Linked DNA regions of Yarrowia lipolytica. The protein of the gene in region 1 purifies or fractionates together with the protein of each later gene. This does not show direct contact. Links are inferred from orthologs where the notes say so. Each region holds a gene or a part of one and is shown on either strand. Other genes may lie near its edges.

Region 1 (7,475 bases):
GAGTGCGCCTGTTAGCAGAACCGCCCAGGGCACTCAGTCTACACCTGCTTCTCTCAAGAGCGAAACCAAGACTACCGAAACCAATTCTAACACCACCGACACCAACGGCGAAGACCTGTTGGCGTTCTGGCATAATGGCCGGTTTGGCGCCTTCTTCAAGAAACACGAAATCCCCAGAAAGTTCCTCCACACCTCCATCGGCTTCATCACCCTATGGCTGTACACCCAAGGCATCAACCTGAACCAGGTCACTCCCGTTCTCGTGGTGATGGCATTGTTCATCGGCACCTTTGACTTCCTGCGTCTCAGAAACAAGGCCCTCAACAAGGCCTACTGCAAAGTCATGGGAGCTCTGATGCGAGAGTCCGAGATTAACGGCGTTAACGGAACCATCTGGTACCTGCTTGGCCTCATTCTGGTCTTCTCGTTCGCCTCTAAGGATGTTGCTCTTATGGCTGTTCTTCTGCTCTCCTGGGCTGATACCGCAGCCTCTTCCGTCGGCCGGGCTTATGGATACCTCACTCCCAAGTACAAGAACAAGTCGCTGGCTGGTTTTATGGGCGCCTTCATTGCCTCTGAGATCGCATGTCTCTTTCTATACGGCATCATCATCCCCAAGTACGGCGCTGAAGTCGACACGCCCGGCCAGATCACCTGGTCCAAGCAGTCTTCTCGACTTACTCTGGGAGTCTTGACAGCCATGTCTGGTCTCGTCGGAGCCGTTTCCGAGTCCATTGATGTGTTCGGAATCGACGACAACTTCACCATTCCCGTCCTCTCGGCGCTCTTCCTTACTGGTCTGCTGGACATCTTCAAGAAGTAAATTGGCTTTCACTCCCCGAACATCACAAAATCAACACAACAAGCGATAGAATGACGACAAGAAGAAGCTGACAAGAGTTGCGGAGGAATAGTAATAGTTTTTTGCATATAGACAAATAGATAGATAAATTTCTCTTATGACTAACCAGACTGAATGAGTTAGCATTGAGATACGTCCTATAAATTTCAAATTGTGCATATCGGAAGCCATCATATACATGGTTCATGTAAAGCATGGCAGATCGATCAGTCTATACAGTAACTGCAGTAATAGTAGGGTATGTACCCACGTTGCCGCTCAGATAGTACAATTTTCATTACATTGCTTGTTCTATATATATATATATATACAAGCTCACCTTATGCCAGGCTCTTCAACACGAGCTGCTTCTGAATGTCGGCAACCCGATCACCCAGCGACAGAGCCAGACCCTGACCCTTGGACCGAATTCGGACGTGTCCAGAAATCTCCAGGTTGTCGTTGATCTCAATCGAGATGTTTGCAAGAGCCTCCTCACCAAACGAACTGATAGAGTACAGGTTAGCAGAAAGGAAGCCGCAGTCGTCCTCAAGATCAGTAGCATCCTCCTTGATGGCACCAGGAGTGAGACACTTCATGTTAGTGTTCTCAACAAAGTACCGAATGTACTTCTGAAGAGTAAGACCCTTTGCCATGAGGTTGACCTTGTTCTCCCATTCAAACTCGCTCCACATGCTTCGGAACTCAGTCTCGGAGCAGGTGGAAGGCTTGATGTAGTCCATAATATCAACATGCAGATCGTTGAGAATAACAACCTTGTTGTCCAGAGAAGACTGACCGTCGTAGACAATGTTACCGAAAATGACAGACGCATCAGCAGAAGACACCTTGATGGTGGTCTGTAGAGAGGCAAATCCATGGGGACCGAGGTTGAGACTCTGAGGCTGGTCAACAACCTTGAGGTCACCAAGCACAGAGAACTCCACTGTGAGGTTCCGGAGGGTGTCCTTGGTCTGGTTAACAAGCAGAATGTCGAGAATGATGTCAAACTGGTGCACGTTGATGACGGCCTCAGCGTAGATAGGGTCGGAGAATCCAGTGAGGGGCTGGACCTTGGCAAGAGAGGAAAGAGGCTTGGTAGAAACAACAGTGGTGTCGATAGTATCAAGAGCCTCGGGCTCCTCGTCGTCACCATCAGTCTTGACAAGCTGTCGAAAAGATAGGGAGTCATCGACTTGAACGGCGTTGTTTCGCTTGTCAGCAGCCTTCTTGTCGGCACGCTCCTTATCGAGCTTGCCAACAAGGGCTCGGAAGGCCTCCTTCGTGTCTTCTCTGTAGGCCTCCACAACGGCAGGCTCTCGGTCGCCCTGAGAGATCGCTCGAATACAAGACAGGATTCTGTCAGTAGAGTCCTCGTCGATAGAAACAGCAGAAAACTCGGACTGGCCAGCTCGCAGAATAGAGGTCAGGAACAGCATGGCCTCGGCCTTGAGAGCGTTGACCCGAGCAGGCTTTTTGGTGATGGCAGCGTATCGGAACACCAACTTGGCGAGAGTGGATCCAAGAACGCCGGCAACAAAGTAGTTGCCATCCTTGAGGATGATAGACCGCAGAGGTTGGCCCTCAAACTCGTCAACCTCGGCCTTGACAGTGGTGGTCAGGGCAGATTCGGTGGCGTAAGTACCGTCAGCAAGAACCTTTCGGGAAGGCTTGTGGGTGGCAGTCTCGCCAACATCGGGCTCCTCCTCGGCACCATTGGTCTCACCGTCTCTCTTTCGTCGCTCAGAAGCAACAATGGGAACCTCTCCAAGAGAATTTCGAATGTGCTGCCATGCCTCCTGGATGTCTGCTTCCTCGAGACAGTACTCTCCAATGACCCAGAGAGCAGATCGGTAGACAGTGGCTCGTCGAACAGAAGACAGAGTGGTCAACAGTCGTCGGACGATAGTAGATCGTAGGTTGGGGAACCGCTCGACAACCTCTCGTACAAAGATGATGACATCGTTGGCAGAAGAGGAGTTGAAGTCGGCCACAAAGTCTAGCAGCAGATCAGCAACCTGGGCAGCCACCTGGGGGAACTTGATGGAGCAGTTGTGGATGGCTCGGATAAGAACCTGTCTGTACTCGGCGTTTCGCTCGTACTCCTGGGAGACGGTGGCCTGGAGCTCCTTCTTGAAGAGCTTAATAACCTCGTCAATGTTTGTAGAGGACACCATGTCTAGGGCAATGTCGATGGCCTTGGATCGCACATCCAGATCGGCAGACGACAGAATCAGCAGAATGGACATGGACAGCTCGTTGAGAATTCCTGGGTTTCGTCGATGCAGGGTATCAACTCGGTCCAGAACAATGAGCTTGACGTTGTTGTCAGACTCGTGGATGGCGAGATCCACCAGCTCCTGGGCGGCAGCTCGCAGAGCAGTGGGGTTAGAGGTGAGGGCAGTCAGGGCCATGGCAGCCTCGTAAGTGACGGCGGGAGACGAGGCCTCGAGCATCTCAAGTACGATGGCAATGTAGGACTGCTTCAGCTCGGGAGTGACAATGGCGTCTCGTCGAATGAATTGGACAAACGCCAGCTGGATGAGCTCGTCGAGGGAACCGATGGAGGGCAGCTGTTTCTGCAGGTAGGCAAACGCCCAGTCTCGGTTGATGTTGGCAAGCGACACAAACGCGTTTCGCTTACATGTGGCGTCGGTCTCAGCGTCCAGGAAGGTGGAGATCAGCTCGTCGCAGTCGGGGACAAGGGTCTCGGAGATCTCTCGAATGGAGGCGATGGCGAAAACGGCGTTCTTTCGCACGTAGGAGTGTCGGTGCTCCATGTTGGATCGCACAGAGGGAATCAAAGACTCCAGCAGCTCGGGCTCCTTGAGCTTGCACAGGAATCGCAGGGTCTCTCCTCGAATGTACTCGTTGGGGTGCTGCAGGTCGTTTCGGATGGCGTTACACACGAGAATCATCTCCTGTTTGAGCTTTCCATCGGGCTGGAGCTTGGGGCAGATCTCCCAGTAAAAGTGCAGCAGCTTCTTGAGCTGCTTGTTCTTCGAGGGCATGACGAATCGGATGATTTGCATCAGAAGCTGGGGCATGGGGTCGCCGTTGAGCATGGCGACCAGGATTTGCCGCATGGCATCGACCTTGTCTTCATCCCGTCCCTTCTCAAGCAGGTTCTGGAAGTCTCGGACCGAGAGCTTCTCAGTCGAGGGCTGTGTTAGTGGTGTCTTGTGAGGTGTTGGGGGCGTGTAATTTTTGAAAGACACGTCGAGAAGAGACTTGTGGGGGCCACAAAACACCTCGGGCGGCTTTACTCACCTCGTAGACCAACGTGTACTGAGCTGAATCAGACATGGTAGTGGTTAGGTTACACGTAGTGTGTCTCGTCAATTGACTTTTGACATCGTGGCCATAGGCATGTGTTGTTACCCTACTTTGGGGTTCAATAGAGTGCGATCCGGCCAGTTGCGTATTTGATACTCTTAGAGAGCGTTAGAGAGGTGTCTAGAAAACGGGATGGCAGGCATTTTTTATTGCTATAAGGTCACGTTACAAACCGCGTCATTCTCAAGTAGAACCTCTACTAATGACGTAAATTCTGCTCAACTACATACGGTCCGTGCACCTCTTCACATCTTCCCACATGGCATATCTGCACTGCGATTGCCGACATTGGAATAAGCCCAATAAGCCAAGTGAAGTAAATCGAGTCTCGCAGTTGACATTATTTCTTACAATTTCAACAACACACTTAGACACTACGTACTGTTCCCTACAGTGAGACATCTGGTAGTCTTCCCATATTCTATAGAGTTTAATGTACGTATTATGTTATTATAAAAAAAGATACATATTCTCTACTATGTACTGTTAAATTATAAAAATATATAAAATATATATAATCATGGAAAGATGGTTATGGTACTCAACACACAATTCATGCTCCTACAGTAATAGGAATATCATATTTCGATGACAATAGCTTGAACAAGTGCTACAGACTCGCTACAGTAGCTTCCAGAGTTGGTTGCCATCAGTGTGTTTACCATTTCATGTTCCAGTGAGGGGTGATGGAAAAGATGGAGTTTGGGGTCAAAGATGTCCAGGGCGTTTCAACATAGTTTGGAAAGGGATTTGACCCTTGAGATATAGCTACAATGTAGATACATCTCGAACTCTGCGTCAGGAACAATGTTCATCTTCACAGCATCCCAAATCACCTCTTGCTGCGTCACGTGCCGACCCCTACTTGTCGCTTGGCTGACGTCACACATGCAAAAGCCTATTATAGTGCTGGGACATGCAGTCGAAAATAGCACCTCCTAGACTGGTTAGACAGACAACTGTCACAAATCCAGCACCACACCACCACAATCACAATGTCTCACGGAGCTGGAGGGTACATCAATGGCGTGGTCTCCGACAACAAGACCCCGTCGCCGTCACAGCCTCCAGTTCATGTCCCCAAGCGAAAGCCGGTCCATCGAAAACCTGTGGGAGTGGACTCGAATTCCACCACTCCAAGTGCCAGCCCGAACCCTCAGACAGGCTCACCTCTGCTGGGACCTCCAATCATACCTTATGGAGCTGCGAGTGCCACGGGCACGCCGTCTGCTGCTCCGGGGACGCCTCCTGCAGCCGCCAAAAAGCAATACCGGTATTCTTCTCTGCTTGATCCAGAGCCGACCTCTCCGAAACCCGCGACCTCGGAACGCCGGGCCGTAAGCGAGGCCCGAAAAGTGCCTCCACTTCAAACGACATCTGCTGGCGGATTATCTGGAGCAATCAACTTTTCCAAACCCGTGTCACCGGCAAGCCAACATGCACAACAGGGCGTGGGGTTTGGTAGAGCACAGGCCTCACAGTCGTCTACGGCCCAACCACCGCCGTCGCTGCCACCAAAGGTCCCCGTAACATCAACCCACAACCCCTACTCGGGGACTCCGGAGCTGAAACAGGCGTCGTTTGGTTATCAGGCCAGTCAGTTTGCAAGCCCAGCTGCCGCTCCTTATGCTACTAACGGAACGTCACCAAAACAGCATGACTCGACCAGCCGCAACTACAGCGCTTCTTCTCGACCACCGGTGCCCAACACGTCTTATTCGACACCAGTAGCACCTTCGACACCTAAGAATAATGGACCTGGCGGAAATGTACCTGGGGGAAGTGCCCATGGAAGCACGTCCGCAAGCTCGCAACAGAGCCCTCCCTACCCAGTCCCCGCAAACACGTCGTCATACGGATCAGCATCGAATACGACACGACAACCCTCGGCCGCCTCGACCACAACCTCTTCCAGCAAGTCTACCCTGCCATACCCAGTTCCTACTCCTGCTGCAACAAAACCCACGCCGCAAACTCCTCCCGTTCAGAGTGCGTACAAGTTTGATAGCCCTCAAGTCGAGGTCAAGCCCGTGGCCAAACCAGCAGTGTCTAAACCGGCTATGCCACCTATTCCCAAAACTACCATTAACACGTGCCCCCCTGCCATGCCTCCTGTTCCCAAGACCAACATTCAAAAGCCAATACCCACACCTGCACCAGTAGCTCCTGCTGTCACAAAGGCACCTGTACCAGCCCCTGCTTCTGCGCCCACTCCTGCTGCTGCACCCATCTACCAGCCGTCGCACCATCTGCCTCCTCGGTCTCCTTCCCCGGACTCGGACTACCAGCACTCGCCTCCCCGACGAACGCTGCGAGTCGTGAACGACTTTTCTTCTTCTAGTGACGAAGATGAACCCACACCGGCAAAAGCTGCTCCCCCTGTGCCTACGGTCACCAAGACCCCCGCTGGACCTCGAGAGTACCCTCTGACGAACCGCATGTCTCACCTGGAGATCAATGATGGCAACCATCTGGACCCTTTTACACCAGCAGCGCCTCTGAGAATCCACAAGAAGAGCAATTCGTCGACTTCCAACCCGTCGTTCGACTTTGCAACCCGTGAGTCGTTTTACGCCACGCCTTCTGGCTCTACAGATGACATTTCCCAGGAGTACGTGACCAACGAGTCGTACCTTAATAGTCAGAGAGGAGGCGTTGATAACAACAACAGATCTATGAGTTCCATGTTTACCGGCAACCATAGCTACGACAGCGGGAGCAGTCATAGCACACGTCCCATGAGCGGAGAGGATCTGCTAGCGGAACATCATCTGCAACCTCAGTACACACACGAATCAGCGATTGATCCCTTTGATCCTTCGTTTGATCCTCACAACCCAGCATACGAGCCTAGAACTTCTTACGAGCATCCCGAACCTCCTTCACCCCAAACCCCTGCGATCCCTGAAGGGGTTGCTTTCGACGGATCTGCATTTGGAGGAGGAGCTGTCATTGGTGGTTCTGTTGCTCCCGTTCTCTTGGATCCCTCAATTAATATCCCAGATCCTACAGAGTATGGTGCTTTTGATGTGGGCGCTCCATTGGTACCTTCAGTCACCAATATGAGTACTGGAACCGCCACAAGCATGCCAGGATTACAGGGCGCACCGAGCATCATCTCGACCACTTCCCAGGTGTCTCAAAAGGGCAGAATTTCCAACTCCGACTATCCTGCTTTGGGTGTCGAGTCTCAGTATGTCCGTGCGTTGAGAAAACGAACAGCCTCAGCATGGTGTGAAGTGCCCTCCAAGGTCTGGGGTCTTCCCCTGGGTATCTCGGACAAGGCTGGAAAGAAGTT
Region 2 (6,103 bases), on another chromosome or scaffold:
TAAGTCCGACAAGGAGTCGTTCCAGAAAATTGCCGACGAGATGGGCATTGACCCTACCGTCCTTGCCTCGGCCGGTATGTTCACCGGAGAGGAGGAGCGATTTGCTTACGCCCGAGCTCTCTCTCGAATCCACCAGATGAGCACCACCGACTGGGTCGAGCAGCGAGTCGGCAAATAGACACTGAATACATTAGATAGACCTTAGATCTGTAACCAAAAACCGTGTGAGAAAAAAAAAAGATGAGGTGTATTATATATACAGTATATTCTAACTGACGTATCAAAATTGACTCACTGTAAATCAGAAAACCATTGGTTATTTAACCAAGGGACATTTCCTCGTTGGCCAGGGTTTAGGAGTCCGATATTGTAATTTTGCAACTTCACCTTTACAAGCCTAGGCTATCTGGCACAATTCACCAAGTAATTCTAACTAAATATCTGGCAGCATGTTTTTGATAAAAATAGCCATATGCTACAACTGTTGAACAAAAAGAGGGAAATAATTTACTAAATTGTGAATCACAAGTACGTGTTTAATGGAAAAACATCAATTTGGCCATCTTATATTCCTACAAAATCTGATAGCCCCCCATCCAAGTAACGATATAGTCAGCTCTCCTCTTAACTATTTGTCAACGTAGAACCACACCACACGGCACCCCAACAATACAGCCACATCTGTCCCCCAGCAGTGCCAGATCTAAACCAATTCTTCCTACTGTAACGCAGCTACAACAAGATATATACTTGGGTCCTCCAATCCTCAACCGAAATAAATGCCCTCGAACTAGACCATAGCTACAAGTAGTAGACCCACCCTAACCTTAGCCCCACACCTCTCATGCCCGTGCTTGCATATCTCCATGTGGGGGAGTGATACTTATAGTAGGAAGAGACCTACAGTACTTGTAGCAAAACAAACAAACAACACTCTACAACACAATGACTGTCCCAAAGCTACCACTGTCATTCCCCCTGGACCAAGCCGTAGACACAATTCGGCTCTCCGACAAAGGGTCTTATTACATTCTCGAATTGAACGCTCCACCTGACAATCGACTAACCCCCTCTTTCATCACGGCCTTCATCGAAGCGTTAGACACTCTCAAGTTCTACTACGACCCAAAACCGCTGGTGACAACCTCCACCTCCCCCAAATTCTACTCCAACGGCCTGGACTATGAATTGGCCCAGAAAACCCCCAATTTCATGAGTCTCTACTTCTACCCTCTTTTGAAAGCTTTCGTGGACTTCCCCTGGCCCACAATTGCCAACATCAATGGCCATTGTTTTGCAGGTGCCTTTTGTCTGGCAGCATTCCATGACTACAGAGTAATGAACCCGGCCAAGGGGTGGCTGTGCATGAATGAACTCGAGTTCGACGCGCCTCTAATGGGCCCTCTCATGTCCATATACGTTACCAAGTTTGGAGCTGCTATAGCCCAGAGAATCTCGCTCAACGCAGAGAGATTCACAGCAAAGACAGCTCTCGAAGCCGGACTCATTCACGCCCACGGATCATGGCCAGAGGTCGAAGAAATCGTGAAACGAATCGGGGAATACTCAAACCGGACATTCTATAGCCAAATGAGAGCTGGTATTCTCAGAAACGTGCTGACAACCATGGATTACGACAACGAGACTCGTATCCTCCACGAAAGAAGAGACAGACTGTGGAAATACGAGGACGAAAACAAACCAAGAATTGGAGCACTACTGAGCAAACTATAGGTATAAGTACAATTGGTATATTTAGTTAATACATACACTAACATGCTCAATAAATTACTGGGATAGAGCTTCTATTGTGATTTTCAGGCTGGTCCAAACTTATCTCATGTACTCCCTCATGAAATCGCCCACCTTTTTTCCACCCTGCTCAAAAGCGTCCTTCAGACCTCCAAAATCCTCTCCGGCCACGTTCTTGACCCGCTCAGCGAGATCTGCAGCCATTCGCTCCAGATCGCTCGAGTGGTTCACCATAGCCTGCTCCTCCTCCTCGTCTCGGCCAAAGTAGGATGACGACGAAATGGCCTTGGAGCCGGAGTACGTCTGAAGACGCTCCTTCGCCTCCTTCTGGGCAGCAGGGTCGTAATCGGACCGGCCAAAGAACTGGTCTGACGAAATACCCTTGGATGTCTTGAACTTGTTGAGTGTCTCGGCAGTTTCCTTATCCGGAGGGACATAGGTAGACTTCTTCTTGGTCGACTCCAGCTTGTTCTCACCGGCAACCATACCAAAGCCGAGCTTCTGGAACTTCTGCTCGACCTCCTTAGTGTTAGTGGGGACCAGCTTGATGGGTTCGTTAGAGTAAGTGGGGGGGTAGTCTGCGGGGCCGCCAAACGAGCCGGAGGGAGCGGCGGTGTGAGTGGGCTCGGAAACAACGGTGCTCTTGCCGAACACGTCGTCCTCAGCATCATCGTCGTTGCCAAGACCCAGGGCCTCCTTATTCTTTTCCTCCTCCTTGGCCAGTCGTTCGGCTTCCTCGAAATCAAACGACTCGGCGGGAGCCTTCTTAGGTTTGGTCTTCTTGGAAGACAGAATGCTCTTCTTGCCAGCGGCACCTCCGGCCTTCGAGGTAATCTTGGTCCGGGTGGCGGTAGGGGTCACCTTCTTGGTGGGGTTGTTCAGCGAAGAAGTGGAGCCGTTGTTTCCGTTTCGGATACCGGGCAAGCTGGCAGTGGAGGCGCCAAGAGCAGGGGTGGAAGACCGCGAAGATGTAGGGGTGGGCTTCTTGACCAGGGGCTTGTCCCAGTTGGCAAAGAAGTCGTCGGTGGAGGCAGACTTGATGCTGGCGGCGTCGTCATCTGCAGTCTCAACCACAATCTCGTCGGGGAACTGGGCTGCGTCCTTGGCGCACTTTTGGGCCAGATGAGTCAGGTAAGCCTTGGCGGTCTTGGAAGTATACTTTTCCTGGGCTCGACCAGCGTTCTCGAGGTACTGGGAGCCTCCGTGCTTGGCAAAGTATTCCCGTGCGTTCTGGTTACCTCCACACTTCATGTTTCGGAGCTGCTTGTAGGACCACTCGTCCATGGTAGTGGATCGTACGAACGACACGTGCACTCCGAGGTTTCGGTGCACCGACGAGCAGTCATAGCAGATGAACACACCGAAGGTGACCGACGACCAAGTGGCATTGTTGGCGGGACAGTCAAAGCATGTCTAGGTTAGCGTTGAAGTTGAAACCGGTATTGTGTATGAGCCACATCACCATTGAGTAGGTAGGCACGCGCGTCATAAACACCAGCCCGGCATGATTCAGCGTAGGAGAAAAACACCCACAAACTGACACGCCACAGAGGCAGCTCACACCCCCCTTTCTGTGCCACATAAGCCCTTGCACCTTGGTAACCATACGGTCCATGCCAGATCAGCTGGACGTGGCAGCCGTGTGGGAACCGCTCAAAACCAAAAGACCAAAAAAACAACTCACCTTGTTAGCCTGAAGACTGCTTAGCTTCTTGAAGATCTCCTCTCGTTGAGACTTGGGCAGAATGTCGCTCTCAACCATGTTGTGTTGATAATGACACGAGGTCAAAAGTAAACTCTAGTAGTGCGCTGATGGTCAGAGTTACCCGGCAGCATCTTTGGCCATCATGCATCATTCTGGAGCGTTGCAGCAGAGCGACGTGCCTGGAGACGGAACTACTATAACAAAACAGATGTGTCAGATAATGCAACCCAACAGGGCTAGCGAGAATATATACCTAATAAATACCCAGCCACGTGACCAAAAACCCGACTCCAAGTCTACCAAAGAGCACCCCACCTCACTTCTATCCACGTGACCACCTACTGGCACACCCCAAACGCACCTCATTGCTTCTTAAACTCCCAGCAAAGTTTTACTAACAAATCTGGAATCTGGAGAAGGCTACCTTGTCGCTACCTGCACATCACATTACGACACCCTACACAATCCACTTATACACAATGTTGACACGCCCATTACTGGCTCTGTCACGCCCTATGGCACTGGGTGCCCTTAGACCTGCCGTTCTCGTCAGAACTCTCACCACTGCAGGTCCCACCACAACCGTCAGATCTACACCAATCATTACCCCCTCGCATCTCTCCACACTGTCTCGATCCACACCATTTGTGTCCAATTGCACACTTTCTCTGCTGAAGCGGTCATTTCATGTGTCCTCTGACGCTCGAAGCGCCGCTAAGGCCGAGGGGAAGCCCAAGGTGTCGGCCTACGAGAAGGCCAACATGCGCCTGGCCAAGATCGGAGTCTTTTTCCAGCTGTCGTGGTACCTAGGAATCATTCTGGCGGCACTGGGACTGTTTGGACTCGTCTGGTACTACCTGATCATGGAGCTGGTGATGCCCTCTGGAGACGTGCGAATCTTCAACCGAGCGTTCAAGGAGATTGAGAAGAACGAGGATGTCATGCGAGTGCTCGGAGGCCAACTATCGTCCATGGGCGAAGGTGGAGGAGGCCGATGGGGCCGAAACCAGCCCCCCGTCAGCAAACGAGGCATCGACAAGTACGGCCGAGAACACATTTGGATGAACTTTTACGTGTCTGGAGACATCAACGAGGGACGAGCCAAGCTGGAACTAGTGCAGAACACAGACTCCAAGCTGTCGTCCGAGCGGTTTGTCTACCGATACTTTGTCGTTGACATTCCGGGCCACAAGCGAATCTACATTGCTGGAAACGCCGCGGAGAAGATGGAGAAGAAGAAGAGTACCGGCTGGCTGGGCGTCAACTGGGGTAAGAGCGATGATGAGTAGGAGACAATACCATATGAAGCATGTAAATAACGACGAGCAAAGACCAAGGAGCAATACAATAATGAAATGACATGTCATATGGCCTAAATACCTCGGCTGGGTCGTTCACCAATGTACTTGTAACATTGTGCTGTACTTGTAGCATTTTAATGATTATGTCATCCTTGTATCCCCTTAATGACTGCCTTGATTCTGTACGAGTACAAGAAACTACGACAGTGTAAGTACATAAATACATAATCTCTGTCATGTGTCATTTCTACTTTGAGACTACGCTCCAACTTGTAAAGAGGCGTTGCCCCCAGCCGCCCTCGTTCCGAATCTAATGTTATGCTATATCAGCCATATCAGCCATGGCATTTTTGACTTTCTCTTGTGTGATGAGTCTCCTTCCCTTAAATACCCTCCTGGAGGAAATCGGCCACGTTATGAGGCTCCTTGCTGAGCAGCACCTTCTGGCCGGAGGCGGGCTCGCAGTCTCGTCGAACGTGGTTCTCGGGGCCGGGAGTGGGCATCTTGCCGGCCTTGCAGTCCTCCAGAAGCTTGACGGTTCCCTCGGGAGTGAGATCCTCGTAGTAGTCGTCGTTGATGGCCATCATGGGGGCGTTGACACAGGCTCCGAGACACTCAACCTCAGAGAGAGTGAAGAGGTTGTCCTTGGTGGTCTCACCGGGCTTGATGTTAAGGGTGTTCTGGACAGCCTCCATGATACCGTCGGAGCCACACAGCTGACAGGGGGTGGTGGTACAGATCTGCAGATGGTACCGGCCCATAGGGGTTCGGTTGTACATTGTGTAGAAGGTGGCCACCTCATAGACTCGCATGGGGGGCATTTCCAGCAGCTTGGCCACGTAGTTCATGACGGAGATGGAGGTATAACCGAGCTGTCGCTGGCCAATGTCGAGAAGAGGCATAACAGCAGCCTTCTTGTACTGAGGGGGGTACTTGGCAATCACCTCCTCAGCTCGCTTCATGTTCTCGGGGGAGAACTCAAAGGGAATGCTGGGGTTGTTGTTCTCAGTGTTTCGGTGTACAGAGACAATGTGAGTTCGGGCATTGAGAGCCTGGGGGGCCCGAGTGGTGGGCCGGGCGAGAGCTGCCAAACGGGGTCGGATCAGTCGGAGCATTTTTGTGTGTGAAGGTCGAGCTGAAGCTGTGGTGATGGAGATGTTCGTGCCCTTGACCCAAACGCTCCAGAGTTAGTTTTTCAGAAATTGGGCCACGCCTATTGGTTGATGACCTGAATTAAGGTTGAGTAATTGGGAGGGAGGATATTGGCTGGAGGGAGGAGGGGATGAAATACGGATTAACGGATCACCCTTGTGCGATTGATGTCGCCAGACACACGATTTGAGCT

Evidence for each region. Proteins that work in one complex are often made in the same cells at the same time.
Region 2: the proteins of YALI1_F25485g (region 1) and YALI1_D00747g purify together in Saccharomyces cerevisiae (affinity purification with mass spectrometry; 4 studies listed by BioGRID). This does not show direct contact. The link is inferred for Yarrowia lipolytica from reciprocal best matches to the Saccharomyces cerevisiae genes SEC26 and GLO3.

The regions. Positions count from the first base shown.
Region 1 is NC_090775.1:2,544,511-2,551,985, forward strand, and holds YALI1_F25485g (uncharacterized protein), read right to left. Parts: upstream 4,148-7,475; coding exon 4,112-4,147; intron 4,006-4,111; coding exon 1,183-4,005; downstream 1-1,182. Other genes in the region: YALI1_F25444g (uncharacterized protein), read left to right, coding at 1-823; YALI1_F25496g (uncharacterized protein), read left to right, coding at 5,173-7,475. UniProt on the Saccharomyces cerevisiae protein: The coatomer is a cytosolic protein complex that binds to dilysine motifs and reversibly associates with Golgi non-clathrin-coated vesicles, which further mediate biosynthetic protein transport from the ER, via the Golgi up to the trans Golgi network.
Region 2 is NC_090773.1:71,554-77,656, forward strand, and holds YALI1_D00747g (uncharacterized protein), read right to left. Parts: upstream 3,515-6,103; coding exon 3,437-3,514; intron 3,166-3,436; coding exon 1,834-3,165; downstream 1-1,833. Other genes in the region: YALI1_D00703g (uncharacterized protein), read left to right, coding at 1-178; YALI1_D00724g (uncharacterized protein), read left to right, coding at 946-1,734; YALI1_D00754g (uncharacterized protein), read left to right, coding at 3,937-4,746; YALI1_D00766g (uncharacterized protein), read left to right, coding at 5,100-5,885. UniProt on the Saccharomyces cerevisiae protein: GTPase-activating protein for the ADP ribosylation factor (ARF) family. Involved in retrograde vesicular transport from the Golgi to the endoplasmic reticulum.